Lonchura striata: one gene and its partner. The protein of the gene in region 1 purifies or fractionates together with the protein of each later gene. This does not show direct contact. Links are inferred from orthologs where the notes say so. Each region holds a gene or a part of one and is shown in the gene's direction. Other genes may lie near its edges.

Evidence for each region. The genes of interacting proteins can lie anywhere in the genome.
Region 2: the proteins of SERBP1 (region 1) and TSR1 purify together in Homo sapiens (affinity purification with mass spectrometry; 3 studies listed by BioGRID and IntAct, with this or other methods). This does not show direct contact. The link is inferred for Lonchura striata from reciprocal best matches to the Homo sapiens genes SERBP1 and TSR1.

What each region holds. Positions count from the first base shown.
Region 1 is NC_134611.1:5,097,268-5,104,920, forward strand, and holds the start of SERBP1 (SERPINE1 mRNA-binding protein 1), read left to right. Parts: upstream 1-4,568; 5' UTR 4,569-4,674; coding exon 4,675-5,035; intron 5,036-7,653. UniProt on the Homo sapiens protein: Ribosome-binding protein that promotes ribosome hibernation, a process during which ribosomes are stabilized in an inactive state and preserved from proteasomal degradation.
Region 2 is NC_134622.1:7,226,459-7,233,687, reverse strand, and holds the start of TSR1 (pre-rRNA-processing protein TSR1 homolog), read left to right. Parts: upstream 1-4,153; 5' UTR 4,154-4,175; coding exon 4,176-4,281; intron 4,282-4,351; coding exon 4,352-4,455; intron 4,456-5,625; coding exon 5,626-5,842; intron 5,843-5,922; coding exon 5,923-6,057; intron 6,058-6,364; coding exon 6,365-6,792; intron 6,793-7,052; coding exon 7,053-7,212; intron 7,213-7,229. Other genes in the region: POLDIP2 (polymerase delta-interacting protein 2), read left to right, coding at 1,199-1,313. UniProt on the Homo sapiens protein: Required during maturation of the 40S ribosomal subunit in the nucleolus.

The sequences.
Region 1 (7,653 bases):
GGTGGCTGGAGCACAGCTCAGAGGAATCAGCCCAGCTCACAGAAATAGCAGCGACAGAAGGAGTGTTTGGTGTACCCGACCTTCTGCTTCGTACAGCTCCAGAGCTGCTTTTCCAAACTAAAAATACCTCTTACCTTGGCTGCTCCAAGGAAGAACACTTGCTCGGCAGGTTGTTTAGGATTCAGGGGAAGAAAGTTCAGGCAGAGCTCAATTAGTCTGCCTTGATTTACAAGCCAAGTTCTGTGTCTGCATGATTTGCTTTGCTTGTCTGTGCACATTTTAAAGCACAGAGCAATGCTGTGGGAGGGCATTTTTCACTGCACGTACTTAGGGTAGAAATTCTGCTGTTATTCACATGTTTACAGCCCTCCTCATAATGAAACTGCTGCGTTTTCTGCCATATTAAAAAAAAAAAAAAAAAAAAAAGAAGAAGCAGCAACTAGTGATGTGCTGAAATGAGCAGAATATGTGGGAGGATAAAGAGGTGCGTTGCAGATCGTGGATCTCCTCGTGAGCTCTGCCTTCTCCTGCTCATTCCTGCTGTCCAGCTGGGCAGTGCTGGTTAATTCTGGCAGCTCTTCTCAGAAGGGATCCACGTGTGGATGCAAGCTGAGAAGTTGCTACATTTCTCTGTGATGCATGTGAAATATTTCATGCTCAGAAGTCGTGGCTATACTCGACTTTATTTGGAAGCAATCCCTTTATTTCCTGTGGCCTGGAATCACAGAACCATTAAAGCTGGAAAAGACATCCAAGACCACGGAGTCCAACCTAAGGGAAGCTTCCTGTCAAAAAAATCTCCAAGCAACATCCTCCTTGTCCACACATTGCCTATGCTGACAGCGAAATTACTGAAAACCCCACAACACAGATCCAAAGAGTACAAAATCAGGAAAACCGTGGTTTTGGGATGGAGCAAGGACCCGGCTGAATACTTTTCCCCCTGCTGTGAACTTGCTGCATTTCCTATTCCTGCTTATTAAGCAGGCAGCTGACAGCTGCTGGCAAAGCTTGGGAATAGCAGAGGAGCGTGGCGTGTCCAAAGGCTCTCCAGGCCTCTTTTGGGCAGCAGCTCGGGAGCAGCTCCTTAGGTGGGATATCCATGGGCCACGGAGCTCTGCGTGTCCCAGCCAGAAATAGCACTGGGAATCTGGGAATCTGCTCTTCTGGCCACTGGGAACACCGGTTTGCTCGGTGGGAAAGGAGAACACACGCGTCTGTCGTGCAGGAAGACCCAGCCCAGCTTTTGGTGGCAGCTCCTGGAGGATCTCGGGGTGTTTTTTAAGTTTTTTAATCACTCCCTCACTGTCTGAGTGCTGCCACTCATCCTCGCCTCAGCTGGCTGCAGATCTGTGTCCTGATCCAGTGTGGGCTGGGATTCCTGCAAGGCTGTGCCTGTCCCCTGGGGAAAACTCATCCGTTTCAATGTGCAGTTAATGGGTTGTTTTTCAAATTTGGCCTAAACACAGGTGGCTTCTGTCCTGTCCTGGTCCTTCACATGAGCAACGAGTCTTGTGTGGGTGCAGCTCTAGGATCTTCTTGGTGTAAAGGCTTCCTTTTAGTTTAAATATTTTAAACACCCTTTTTTTAATGTTAGGAATGATAATATTGTCTTGAGGCTGGAAGTGCCTGAAAACTGTGAATTATACTCATGCACAACGTTGTCTTTTGGACTTTTGACCCATGTGGCTGATTGTGGGGCTGATTAATGCAAACAGCAGCGTGCAAGCACAGCGTGTGACATCCCAGAGCAGAGCTGGAGCTTCCTGCAGGCTGCAATTCCTGCTTCCTGCTGCCCAGAATGCACGACTCCGCTGATTGTGTTCACGTGGTGATCCATCTCCCTCTGTGTATTAAACACTTCCAGTCTGTTTTCATCAGAGCATGCAATGGTTTGGGTTGGAAAGGACCATCTGGATCAGGGACACCTTCCACTCTCCCAAGCTGCTCCGACCCAGCCTTGGAGATTCCAGGGATCCAGGGGCAGCCACAGCTCCTCTGGGCACCTGTGCCAGGGCCTGCCTGCCCTCCCAGCCAGGAATTCCTGCCCAATATCCCACCTGCCAGTGGGAAGCCATTCCCTGTGTCCCGTGTTCGGCGTGTGTTTAATCCAAAGTGCCGCCCCAAGCCTTGTGTCGCTGGAAAATTGTGGAATTCTGAGCAAACAGCGCAGGGGAGCCGGACATGCGGAGCCCCTTGGGAAGCAGCAAAAGGCAGATGCTCTGCCTTCCCTCAGAGCTGCAAATCCCAGCCCTCAGAGCCCATTTCTGTGGGTAAACCCCCTCCCATAAAGCTGCCAGTGCCATCTGGCAAAAGCGGGATCCAAGTGGGAATGGTTCGTGTTTCGTCCATTGTGGGAATCCAGGGAATCCCCCTGGCTGCCCTGGGACCCTGGCAGGGCTCAGGAACCCCCTGGACAGAGCCCCCAGAGACACTGGCTGTGATCTCTGGCCATGGAAAAGAGTTTTCAATCTCACAGGATGAATTACAAGCTCTGAGTGTTTGATATAAGTCATAATTAAGTGTGGCAAGGGTGCAAAAGTAAAATTTTAGGATTCTAGATGAGGGGTCCAAAGGGGACAAGATGGAGGAAATTGGGTGTGCCTTGTCCTTTTTCTCCTTCTTCATGCCCTCCATGTCTCACTGTGGTGTTGGCATTTTTCTGTTGGTTCAGGCTGGGGACACACTGTCCAACGTGGGTGACAGATATTGGCACGTTATTGTAAATGCAGCCCAGGGAGTTTCTGGTATTGAATGTTTGTCACATCCCACTGAGGGCAGAGCCCCACACGCTGCCCTGCAGGACAGAGCTGGGCAGGGCAGCAGAACATGTGAGAGATAAACAGAATAAACAACCTGGAAACCAGCACAGACCAATTATGGCTTCTGCTTTGGCAACAAAGCAAAAAAACCAGAGACTTTTTACAATCTTGGGATCATCAATACCTCAGTCCATAAAATACGTGTGTGGCACAACGCGCCTCGGAGCGCTGACGGGGCGTCCAGGATTTTCCTGGGAATGTCCTTTTAATTAGGTGCTGCTCGGTGCCGTTTGATTCATCCCTAAAAGGCTTTGAGAGGACGTGTTCAGTTCTGAGGGTGTCATTTATGGTGATTATTCATATCCCAGGAAGGGTGGGGAGCTGCTGCAATCCCCCTCAGAGTTGCTGCAGGAGGGGTTTCCTCAAAAACCTCCCCAGAAGTGAGCACAGGGACCTGTGGGACTGCAGGGAAATAGAATATAAAATCTATAACGAAATAAATACATATAATATAATATATAATATATAATATATAATATGTAATATATAATTATATACTCTATAAGATATACTATATAATATAAAATATACAATACATATAATATACAATACATAATACACAATATGTAATATATACTATATAATATATAATATATAGTGTATAATAATGTATAGTATATAATATATAATATATAATATATAACGAAGAACAATCCATGAACCCAAAAATTTTTCACTTATTTGAAGAAACTAAACTACGTAGTTTTCCAAACCGGTTTTGAATTGATGAGCGATACGCACTCAAGGACTGAAGAAATGGAATTAAATTAATTTTTAAAGCAATTATTTCAAGCTTCTGGGAGCAAGCAAAGGAAATGTTGGAAATAACATCCTTGCTGAGCGCAAAGTTTATTTTGTAACAGGTGCCAAAATGTTCTGATGACTTAGAGATATAAACTGTGAGCAGTCAAATTGTGTTTTGAAGGACATGTCAATCTGTTATGTTTTTTATTTATATAAATAAATGAGGCGGTGTCATTATTATGTTTATTATGTTTTTTATATGTATATAATGTTTTATATCTATCTCTTGATATAATGCCTTTTGGTTATAATCTGACACTAGTGCATATATAATATATCAATATTATAATAGCGGTATGTTGATGCATAATTACATCAATACGTTATGATTAATATACAGCATTTATGTTAACATTATGTGTGTATTTATGTTAACATTAGGTGTGCTTTGCACGTTATGTAGAATGCACGATGCATTGTTATTACATATTACACATCATGATAGATATTACTATATCATACATTACATATTATTATAGATAGAAATATTCAGTATTTATCTATACTGTATGTTAGTAATATGCTGATACGTATTAATACCTCAAACATCTCCCACCTCCACTTAATTAGACGAGCAGAAATGCCGAAGAAATCGGAAAAAAAACTTTCAGATCAAAGCCTGGAAATCAACTTTATTTTTTTTTAAATTTAGGTTTTATTTCTGAGGCGAGCCCACACGCGGGAGGTACCACCGGCGAGCGAAGCGCGGGGGTCGACGGGGGAGGCGGGGGGGGCGCGGTGCGGGGCTCCGCCCCGCCCCGCGTCCCCCCCCGCCTCCCCCGTCGACCTGTTCCCCCCCGTTCTCCCCGATGGTACAGCCCACGGCGGGAAACTCCGCGCCCGCCTCACACAATGCGCGCCTGTAGTTCGCGGCGCGGCCGCTGGCGGCGCTGCAGCGCCCTCTCCACCGTTGCGTGGGGGGGTGCCCGGATGTGGCCGCGCCGGAAGAGAAGCGCGTCTCCTCAGGGCCCGCCATCTTGTGCGGCAGCCAGCAGGGCGCGGGGGGCCCGGTAGCATCCGCGCAGGATCCCGCCGACGGGGGCCCATCATGCCCGGACACCTGCAGGAGGGCTTCGGGTGCGTCGTCACCAACCGCTTCGATCAGCTTTTCGATGACGAGTCCGATCCCTTCGAGGTGCTGCGCGCGGCGGAGAGCCGGAGGAAGGAGAGCGGCGGAGGCGGCGGCGGGAGCCAAGCGGGCGGCGGGGCCCGCGGGCCGGCGGGCGCCCAGAGCGGCTCCTCGGGCGGGGCCGGCGGAGCGGGCCAGGCGGGCGGCGGCGCGGGCAGCGCGGCCAAGCAGCTGCGCAGGGAGTCGCAGAAGGAGCGCAAGAACCCGCTGCCGCCCTTCGCCGGCGGGGAGCGCCGGGAGGATGGCGGGGGCCAGCCCGGAGCGCCGCTGCGGAAGGAGGGTGAGCGGCCGGCGGGGAGGGAGTTGGGGCAGGGTCGGGCCGCACGTGGGGCCGCGCATGGCGGAGCGCGCCCGGGGCGGCCGCGGGGCCGGCGGCGGCGGCGCGGGGCTCGGCCGGCCCCACGTGTGCCGGGCTCGGCCCGCGCAAAATGGAGTCGGGCGTGCGGGGCGGACGGGAGACACGCGAGCTGGGAAATGCCGGCCGTGGGGCGGTCGCGTTAGGAGGGAGCTGAAAGGCCATCCCGTTGCAGCCCTGCCGTAGGGCACCTTCCGCCGTCCCCGGCTTGTCCAGCCTGGCCTTGGGCACTGCCAGGGATCCAGCCACAGCTGCTCTGGGGATTCTACTCCAGCCCCTGCCCACCCTCAGAGGGAGCAATTCCTGCCCCAGTATCCCATCTAAACCGGCATATGGAATTCTGGAACGGTTCGGGTTGGAAAGGCCCTTCTCGTTCACCTGCTGCCATGGGCAGGGACACCTTCCACTAGACCAGGTTGCTCCAAGCCCCATTCGGCCTTGTATCCTGAACTTGACTCGTGTTTGATGGGTTTGACAGGATATCTGGAAGTTCCTGGGCTTTCCAAAATTTGTTTGGGTCATTTTCTAGGGGAACAGCGTTGATAGCCATCTTCTTGTTTCCATATATTCTTAAATAACAACTTGCACGAATTCTTAGTTTCCCCTAAATTTCTAAGACACCCTACACGGAAAAACTTTGTAAACAAGGAACTGAGCTACAAACAGACTGAAGAACGTGCTTTGGGAATTAGGAGGCCGGGGCCGCGCATGGATAGGGAGGGATGTGGGCACATGGCGTCCCGTGCGGGCAGCAGCTCCACCGCGCCCCAACTTCAGCCCTCGGCAGGTGGGCCACAGCTCGGGCTCGAAGGAATCCTTGGGACAAAAAACCATCAGAGTGTGGCGACAGCAGATGACGTGGGAGCGAGGGGATAACAGGTTAACTGCAGTTTCAAGGAGCTTTTCACAGAGCACGGTGCTACCTGAGAGCATCTTAATGCTTCTGCATTTATGCTACAGAGTGATGCTGCTTCTCCACTGCTTTATGCTGTTAGAGAAAGAAATAAGTTTAGTGTGTTGTTTGTTTTGGAAAGTGGGTGTGGTAAATGTTATTCGAAAGCACCTTGTGAGAGAAGACAAATGTAGGAAGGACGGTAGAAATACTCATTGCCTGTGGATCTCGTGCTCATTAGCGTTAGGAGCGTTTTCTGTGCGAGGGATGCAATGATCTGCCAGACCAGTGTCCTCTGGAAGCCTCAGTGAGGTGCAGGATTCTCCCACGAGACACACCTGGGACATGGCAGAGTCTTTGGCACCACAGGAGGCCTTTGGGCAGCCCCTCTTCTTCACCTTCTGATTTTCACATCTTTTTTTCAAGAGCACTGTGAAAAATAACTGTTTTCGTGGTTTGTTATGGTAGTGAAACAGAGAAAGTCGGGGCTGCTGTTGTAGCAGTGTGGTAAACAAAGTCGATTTCCAGTTTGAAAATGTCTATTTTAGTGTGTGGCTGTTTTTGCAGTTTTGGCATCATAAAGGTGCTCGATGCCAGGGTTTGTTTCCTGTGTGAATGTATTTTTAAGCTATTCCAGTACTCCATAAGGCTGCAAGTGATTTGCCTGCTGAATTAGCAGTTCAAAGCTTGGTGATGCTGAGAAATAACTCGTATTTTGGGTTAGGCTTCAGCAGGAACCGGGTTTTTCTGAGTGCAGGGCGTTGAACTCGAAATTCAAAAGCCGTGGCTGTTCCATTCCAGTTCTGCAGCATGCCTGCTCCTCTCCCTGCTTCTCCTGCTCACATGGAATGCCTGTCCCCACTGGAGAGCCCTTCTCCCAGTGCAGGCTGCTGGCTTTAACCCCTTGTTTCCTCAGGGAGTCGGGAATGCTTCGGGAGCTATGTGTGCCATGCAAACTTCATGTTAAACACAGCTTGGAAGGTGAGGGAGACATTGTTCATCTGGGTGTGTTGGCTTGGATATCATTACAACTGCAACTTCTGTAGCCCCACCCAAATTTGACATTGCTTGCTAGGCAGGAACTGGGCTCTTTAAAAAAATAATTAAAAATCGGCTTTGAATTTAAAAGCTTGGTTTGTTAATTTTGGAGCCAGTGTTTTGGAAATAAAATGGTATAAGAAATGTGTTTGTCCTCATCTTTTAAAGAAGTGTAAACATGGCCTTTCACATGAGTGGAAAAGAAAACTGTGTTAGGTCTTGGAGAGGGCTTGGTAAAGAAGAGAATGCCCACAGGAGGTTTTTATTTGCAATAAAAACCCTTTTAGGAGGCCTAGGCAGGGAGGAAGAACGCTGGGCAGCTCGGTGGCACTGTGGATTCTTAATCTATTTTGAGAAGTGCACCAGAAGGAGAATCCTTGTCAGGGAATGTTGGACTGGGAGGACCCCAGTTAGTCACTGACCAGTGGCACTGCAGGTGACACCTGTCTGGTACAGGTGGTGGCACTGCTGCCCAGAAGAGTTTCCAAGAGCACAATCCCAGGATCATTTAGGTTGAGAAACACCTCCAAGATCATGAGGTCCAGCTCTTAGAGCAGCACTGGAGTGACTCTTTTAGGGAGCACAGGATTGACTGGCTTAGGGCCAGTGAGGT
Region 2 (7,229 bases), on another chromosome or scaffold:
TTCCTTTTGTCCTTGGTGCAAGAGCCAAGGCCTTGTACTGGTGATTCCTCAGCAGCAGGGATGTGTGCTCTGGTGTCTCTTGAGAGAGGGCTGGGCTTTAACTCCATCTCTGTGCACATCTGTGTCAGGAATTGGTCATGCAGGGGTTTTCCTAGTTTAGACCAGGTAAGGACTCCAGTCTAACTGGTGTTTAAGTTTCTTCTTCTGTAAGTGCTGGGAGAGAAGTGCCCAGCTTAGTTGTTCTTTCCCTGTGCTTTGGGATTAAAGCAGCTTGTCTTTATTTGCCTTTTGGGTTAGCACATTTGTGTCACCTTTGCGTGGACAAAGATTGCACAGCAAACTCTTGCCTTCCATATGACAGGTCCTTCTGCATTTTTTAAAGGAAATCTTCAAAGTTAAGTTGCCTTTGAGTTGGGAAAAACAGGAGAGCAGCTCTTTGTATATAGGGTGTACCTTGTTTGTCATGTGAAGTGTTTTGAATTGCCTGAATGGATGCCCTGGGGAATAAAACCAGATGGTCTAGTAGTTTTTCCCTCTCTGCATACATCCTGACAACAAAGAGACAAAGGTTCTGCAGCTCAGAAGCTGCTCAGCTTGACTTCTGGTGTTCAGTTGTGTCCTCTCTGTCCTGAGAACATGTTAATTTATCTCAACAACCCTCTTGCCCACGTTGTGTTCTGTAGTTCAGAGCAGGAAACAAATGGTTGTACCAGGACAGGCAGGCTCAGTTCTGAAATGCAAAGCTGAAGCTATTCCAAATTACATCTGTGATGGGACTTCTTAATGTCATTGGCAACCTGTGGAGCTCCTGCCAAGAAACACAAATCTGAATTTACATGTAACCAGTCTGTAAAAATAGCTCAGATGGCTCTGTCTCCTGGGGAGTGGGAGTTGGGTAAACACCACTGCAGGTGCATGGAGGATGCTTGGGTGCATGTGATGATTGCTATGGGCTGCAATCATCACAGCTTTGTGCAGGAGATATGTTAGGGATGTGCTGTAAAACTGCCCAGGAGTCCTCCATAAATGAGTTATCTTGGCAGCACATGTTTGCAGCTGAGCCCATGTCCTTGCTGCTGGACCAGCCTTGCAGATGGACCCCCAGGACGTGGAAGAGCTCAGGTCTTTCCCTTTTGCTGATGTGTCTTAGGTGTGTTTGTCCCTGGCCTCAGTGTGACCTCTGCCATTATTTTTGCAGGGGCACTTTTCGATTTGAGAGGCCTGATGGCTCCCACTTTGATGTCCGAATCCCACCCTTTTCCCTGGAAAGCAACAAAGATGAGAAGACCCCTCCCTCTGGCCTTCACTGGTAGATCAGAGTGCCCAGAGCCACGGAGGCCTGTGTGTGTTGTAGACCTTTGCCTCCCCTTTATGCTGCAGCCAAGAACACGGAGCTTTTAAACATTGTAAACCATTTTTGTTGTAACTGTTTTCTGCCGGGGAGGATTTTTTTTGGAACTTTACTACTGGCCCTTCTCTCAGGCTGCTTGTAAAACATAAGCTGTGTTCCAGGTAACCCTTCCCTCTGTGGCACCTGCTGGGTTTTTGGGGCTGGGGGATGTAGATCTATGCTGCTGCAGAAGACTGGCCCTCCTCAGCAGGCCTGGACCTTTCCAATGTGTTGTGACTTCTCTGCAATGTGAGGTTTCTCTAATAAACTGGCCCTTCCAGTTGCAACCAGTCTTCCTTCCTAAGCCAAGGCCCTGGCTTTGCATCCAGCCTGTCCCAGCTTGTTGCTCCCCCTGTGTGGAGTCAGCCCAGAGTTCTTGCTGCTTCAGAAGCAGCTGCTCCTTCTATAGGGAACAGGAATGTGAGCTCAGCTTTTCTGCAGTGCAGCTGCTTTTTGGGATTCGGATAGAGTTGGAGCAGCCTGTGAGCTCCACTCATGGCACAGCTTGTCTGGGTTTGTGCTCTGATACAAAGCCTGTTCTTTTTGGTGCAGAGGGGACAACATGGGTGATGTATGGTGCTGTCACAGCATCCTGTGTGTGCAGAGCACCAGGCTCTGTATTGTGATGGTACAGGAGAGCTGAGAGGAGCCCTCTCCCTGCCAGGGCCTTGCTTTGCTGCAGGGATTTGCATCTCAGCTGCTGGAGGTTATTCCCTGCTCACACTGACTGCAGCAATATTTCCTTGGTAGTTACTGCTGTAACAGGGATGCTTGTTTTCACTTGGAATGCTGTGAGGCAGTGCTTGGCTTTCTGTTCCTGCTTGCTCTGCTTGGCAGGTTGTGATTTTTTGGTGGCATGTGTCTGGAGGGCCCTGCAGGAATGTGCAGGTCAGTGAAATCCCTGTAAGATGACAATGTATGGATGTGTGGGAAAGCCTGAGCAGCACTGAGAATTGCAAAGCTCATCAGCCCCCATGGTGTGGAACCCTTCTTGATGCCTCTGGGTTTCCAGACTTCTGCATGACTGGAAGGCAGAAGTGCTTGGCTTTGTGATAACCCTAGGAAGAGTTTCCAGCCTTCCTCCTTTCCCTACTCTTGCTTAAATGACAAGGTATAACTAACTCACGGGATGTTTTCCTTGATTTAGAAGTATCCTAGCTTTTCCCTCTTCCCTGGAACCCCCTCTAAGGCTGTTTGCCTTTAGCTCTGCAAGGCAGAGCTGAGGCAGTGCTGTGGGCAAACAGCCTTTGGGGGAGACTCTCATGCTGTGCCACAGCCACTGGATTCCTGTTTAGAGAGACTCAATCACTGCAGTGTTCATCTGTCACCAGTACTCTTCAGTTTTGTGTCTTCCTTCCTCTCAGGTAGTGCTCATATTTAGAGTTTCAAAAGTTTAAACAGCCAGTCTGCTTTTAGGGGTAGGAAAGGATCCCTAAAGACCATTCACAGCTGACAACCTGACATTGCTGCTGTCATGCTGATTTCCTCTCAGGAGGAGGAGGTGGGAAGATGCCTCAAGTTCAGAGGCAGCAGGAACCTGTAGGAACCTGCTTTTCCCTTCCCATGCAGCTGCCCTGGCTCTCCCTCGGCTTGCTTCAGCTTTCCTGGCGATTGCAACACCCCTGTGAATGTTTAACCTAGCGATGGAGTGATCCCGGGGCAGGCTCTGCTGGGGTTTGGGGTGATGTCCCATGGGGGCTGAGGCCTCTGCCTAGGAACGGACATTCCTGCCTGGATAATGATTAGCAAGACCGAGGTCACCGCGGTAACAGACCGGGGACAGGAGGAATGTTTCCACTCCGGCAGGCTTTGTCCTGTCCTGGCGCCTGGGCGCGATGCCAGACGCTCGGCAGGGCCTTTCCTCAACTCCTTCATCCCCCCGGCCCTTCCCGGAGCGCGGCCGAGCCCTGTCTCCCTCTCCGTGTAAATACCTGTACAAAGAACCAACCAATAAAGCGCTGAACGAACGGCTCTGCCTCCCGCCTCTCATTGCCCAGCGGCACTACGGCCACCAACCCCGGGGCTCTACCCTCCGCGCCTCGGGGCTCGCCCCTGCCCTTTCCCCGGGGCTCGGTCCCGGTCCCTGTCCCGGGGCTCCTTTCCCAGGGGTCGGTCCCAGTCCCCGTCTCGGGCTCCTTTCCCGGGGCTCGGTCCCGTTCCCGGGCTCCTTTCCCGGGGCTCGGTCCCGTTCCCGGGCTCCTTTCCCGGGCTCGGTCCCGGTCCCCGTTCCGGGCTCCTTTCACGGGGCTCGGTCCCGGTCCCGTTCCCGGGCTCCTTTCACGGGGCTCGGTCCCGGTCCGGGGCTCCTTTCACGGGGCTCGGTCCCGGTCCCGTTCCCGGGCTCCTTTCACGGGGCTCGGTCCCGGTCTCCTTTGCCAGGACTCGGTCTCGGTCCCGGGGCTCGCCCTTGCCCTTTCCCGGGTTCCGTCCCGGTCCCGTTCCCGGGCTCCTTTCCCGGGTCTCGGTCCCGGTCCCCATCCCGGTCTCCTTTGACGGGGCTCGGTCCCGGTCCCGGTCCCAGGCTCCTTTGCCGGGGCTCGGTCCCGCTCCCGGGCTCCTTTCCCGGGGCTCGGTCCCTGCCCCAGTCCCCGTCCCGGGCTTCTTTCCCGGGGCTCGGTCCCGGCCCCGGGGCTCGGTCCCGGTCCCCGGCTCCTTTGCCGGGGCTCGGTCCCGCTCCCGGGCTCCTTTCCCGGGGTTCCTTTCCCGGTCCCTCCCTCTCGCCGCCCACGTGCGATCCCGCGGTTCCCGTCGCTGCGGAAGTGGCGCACGGCGGCGAGGCGGCAGCATGGTGATGGCGGCGGCGGGCGCGCACCGGCCCGGGCCGCTCAAGCAGCAGAACAAGGCGCACAAGGGCGGCAAGCACAGCGGCTCCTCGCAGCGCCGCGCTGGAGGTGAGACGGCACGGGCTCCCCGCCGGCTCCCCGCCGCCCCTCCGCCGGCCTTACCGTTCTCTTCCCGCAGGCCGCGTCCCCGTCAAGGCCCAGCCTCGCCGGCGGCTCCGCGACCTGAGCAGGGTGGACCGGCGGCATCAGGCGCTGCAGCTCCGCCGGCAGCGCAAGGAGGCGGTGAGGCACCGGCGGAACCGGGCCGGTCGTGGCGGGGCAGCGGGAAACGGGTCGGCTCGAGTCTGTGCCGGAGGGGGCTTGAATGCGGCCGTGGGGCTCTGCGTGCGGGCCGTGCAGTCCAACCGGTTTGGGTTTTTGCGGAGGAAACGAGCGGGTGCCAGGCCCGGTTCGGGCCAAGCGGAGGGTTACCGGACCGGGTGCGGTGTGGGGAAGTCTGGCCTGGGTCGGGAGCGGGAGAAGAGGCGCGTTCGGGCTGGCATCCACACTCTGCCCCGGGGCATACACACCCTGCCCCGGGGCATCCACACCCTGCCTTTGGGCATCCACACTCTGCCCCGGGGCATACACACCCTGCCCCGGGGCATCCACACCCTGCCTTTGGGCATCCACACTCTGCCCTGGGGCATTCACACTCTGCCCTCAGGCATCCACACTCTGCCCTCGGGGCATCCACACTCTGCCTTTGGGCATCCACACCCTGCCCTGGGGCATTCACACTCTGCCCTGGGGCATCCACACCCTGCCTTTGGGCATCCACACTCTGCCCTGGGGCATCCACACTCTGCTCTAGGGGCATCCACACCCTGCCCTGTGGCATCCACACCCTGCCTTTGGGCATCCACACCCTGCCTTTGGGCATCCACACTCTGCCTTTGGGCATCCACACTCTGCCCTGGGGCATCCACACGCTGCCCTGGGGCATTCACACTCTGCCCTGGGGCATCCACACCCTGCCTTTGGGCATCCACACCCTGCCTTTGGGCATCCACACTCTGCCCTGGGGCATCCACACTCTGCCCTCGGGGCATCCACACCCTGCCCTGGGGCATTCACACTCTGCCCCAGGGCAATCACACTATGCCCTGGGGCATCCACACCTTGCCTTTGGGCATCCACACCCTGCCCTGGGGCATTCACACGCTGCCCTGGGGCATCGACACACCCTGCCCTGGGGCATTCACACTCTGCCCTGGGGCATCCATACGGTGCCCTGGGGCATCCACACTCTGCCCTGGGGCATCCACACCCTGCCCTGTGGCATCCACACCCTGCCTTTGGGCATCCACACCCTGCCTTTGGGCATCCACACTCTGCCCTCGGGCATCCACACCCTGCCCCGGGGCATTCACACTCTGCCCTGGGGCATTCACACGCTGCCCTCACCCGCAGGTGCTGGCAGAGAAGCGCAGCCTTGGCAGCAGGGATGGCCCCCCGCACCTGGTGGTTGTGGTGCTGCTGCACAGCCGGGCTGCAGTGCAGGACTCGCTGCGGCTGCTGCAGAGCCTCAGCTCGGCCATTGTCCGTGCAGATGAGGGCGGAGCTGGTGGCTTTGCTCTGCTCTGCCCACAGCTCAAGCAGCGCTGGCACTTTGTCACAGCCCAGGCAGGTGAGGAGGCACTGCTGTTGCTTGGGTTCTTGGTTCTGGTGCCTCTGGCAGCCCCACTAATGGAGGTGTTTTGGGTGCAGGGGATCTTCACGCGGTTTTAGACCTTGCCAAGGTTGCTGATTCCCTGCTGTTCATCCTGGATCCTGTGGATGGATGGGACAGTGCAGGGGAACACTGCCTCTCCTGCCTCTTTGCACAGGGGCTCCCCAGTTATGGTGAGAAATGTTTTGGGTTTCTGGGGGTGCTTAATATGGGGAATGAGTGTCACAGTAATTAAATTTCAGGGCTCTGTCACCTTCAGTGAAAAGAACTTTTTTCTTATATTGAGGTAGAAGTTCTTTCATTTCAGTTTATGGCTGTTGCTCTTTGTTCTGCTGGGCACCACTAAAACCAAACTCCCTTTGTACCTGTGGTGCAAATCTGGCCATTTGGGCTGCTGACATCCAAGTGTTTGCCTGTGTTTGGTAAAAAGAACATCAGGAGTTTTAGGATCTGATGGGAGCTCTGTTCTTTGCTCGGCAGCTCTGGCTGTCCCGGGAGGCACTGACCTGCCCCCTAAGAAGAGGATAGATGCCAGGAAGAAACTCTCCAAATCCATTGAGAAGCGTTTCCCCGAGGCCAAGCTGTTCCCACTGAACACGGAGCAGGAATCCTCGCTGCTCCTGAGGCACCTCAGCTCCCAGAAGCAGAGGCACTTGGCTTTCCGGGACCGCCGCGCTCACCTGCTGGCCCGTGCTGCTGAGTTTGTGCCCAGCCAGGACAGCGACCTGCTGGGCACCCTGAAGGTGTCCGGCTTTGTCCGGGGACAGACCCTCAACGTGAACAGCCTGGTGCACATCGTGGGGCATGGGGACTTCCAGCTGAGCCAGGTGGATGCTCCCCCTGACCCGCTCTCTTTGAACCCACGGGTGGTTAAAGGACAGAAGAGGAGCCAGGACATGGAGGTTCAGGTGTGTGGGGTGAGAGCTTTGCCAGTCCTCTTAGAACATAAGTTTTCTAAACTTTCATTGGGGAAAATACAGCTGGGGGTATGTGGGTGAGGAGAGGGGAAGGAGAGTTCTATCTGTGTTCTGCTGCTGGGCTGAGGTTTTGTGCCTGCAGTGTGTAATGAGGGTTATGTCATGACATCATGAAGGGAGTTTCACCTGAGACTGACTGCAAGCTTCAGTTAGGTGTGTTCAGATCTAGGAACTCTGCTCTTCCCCTTCAGGATGACTCTGGAAATGGTGCTGTTGAGATGGAGGAAGATGTCAAGGTGCTGATGAAGGCAGATCCAAGCAAGCAGGAGTCTCTACAGTCAGAAGTGGTTCCTGATCCCATGGAAGGGGAGCAGACGTGGCCCACTGAAGAAGAACTGCAGGAAGCAGAGGGTGAGCAGAAGCAATAG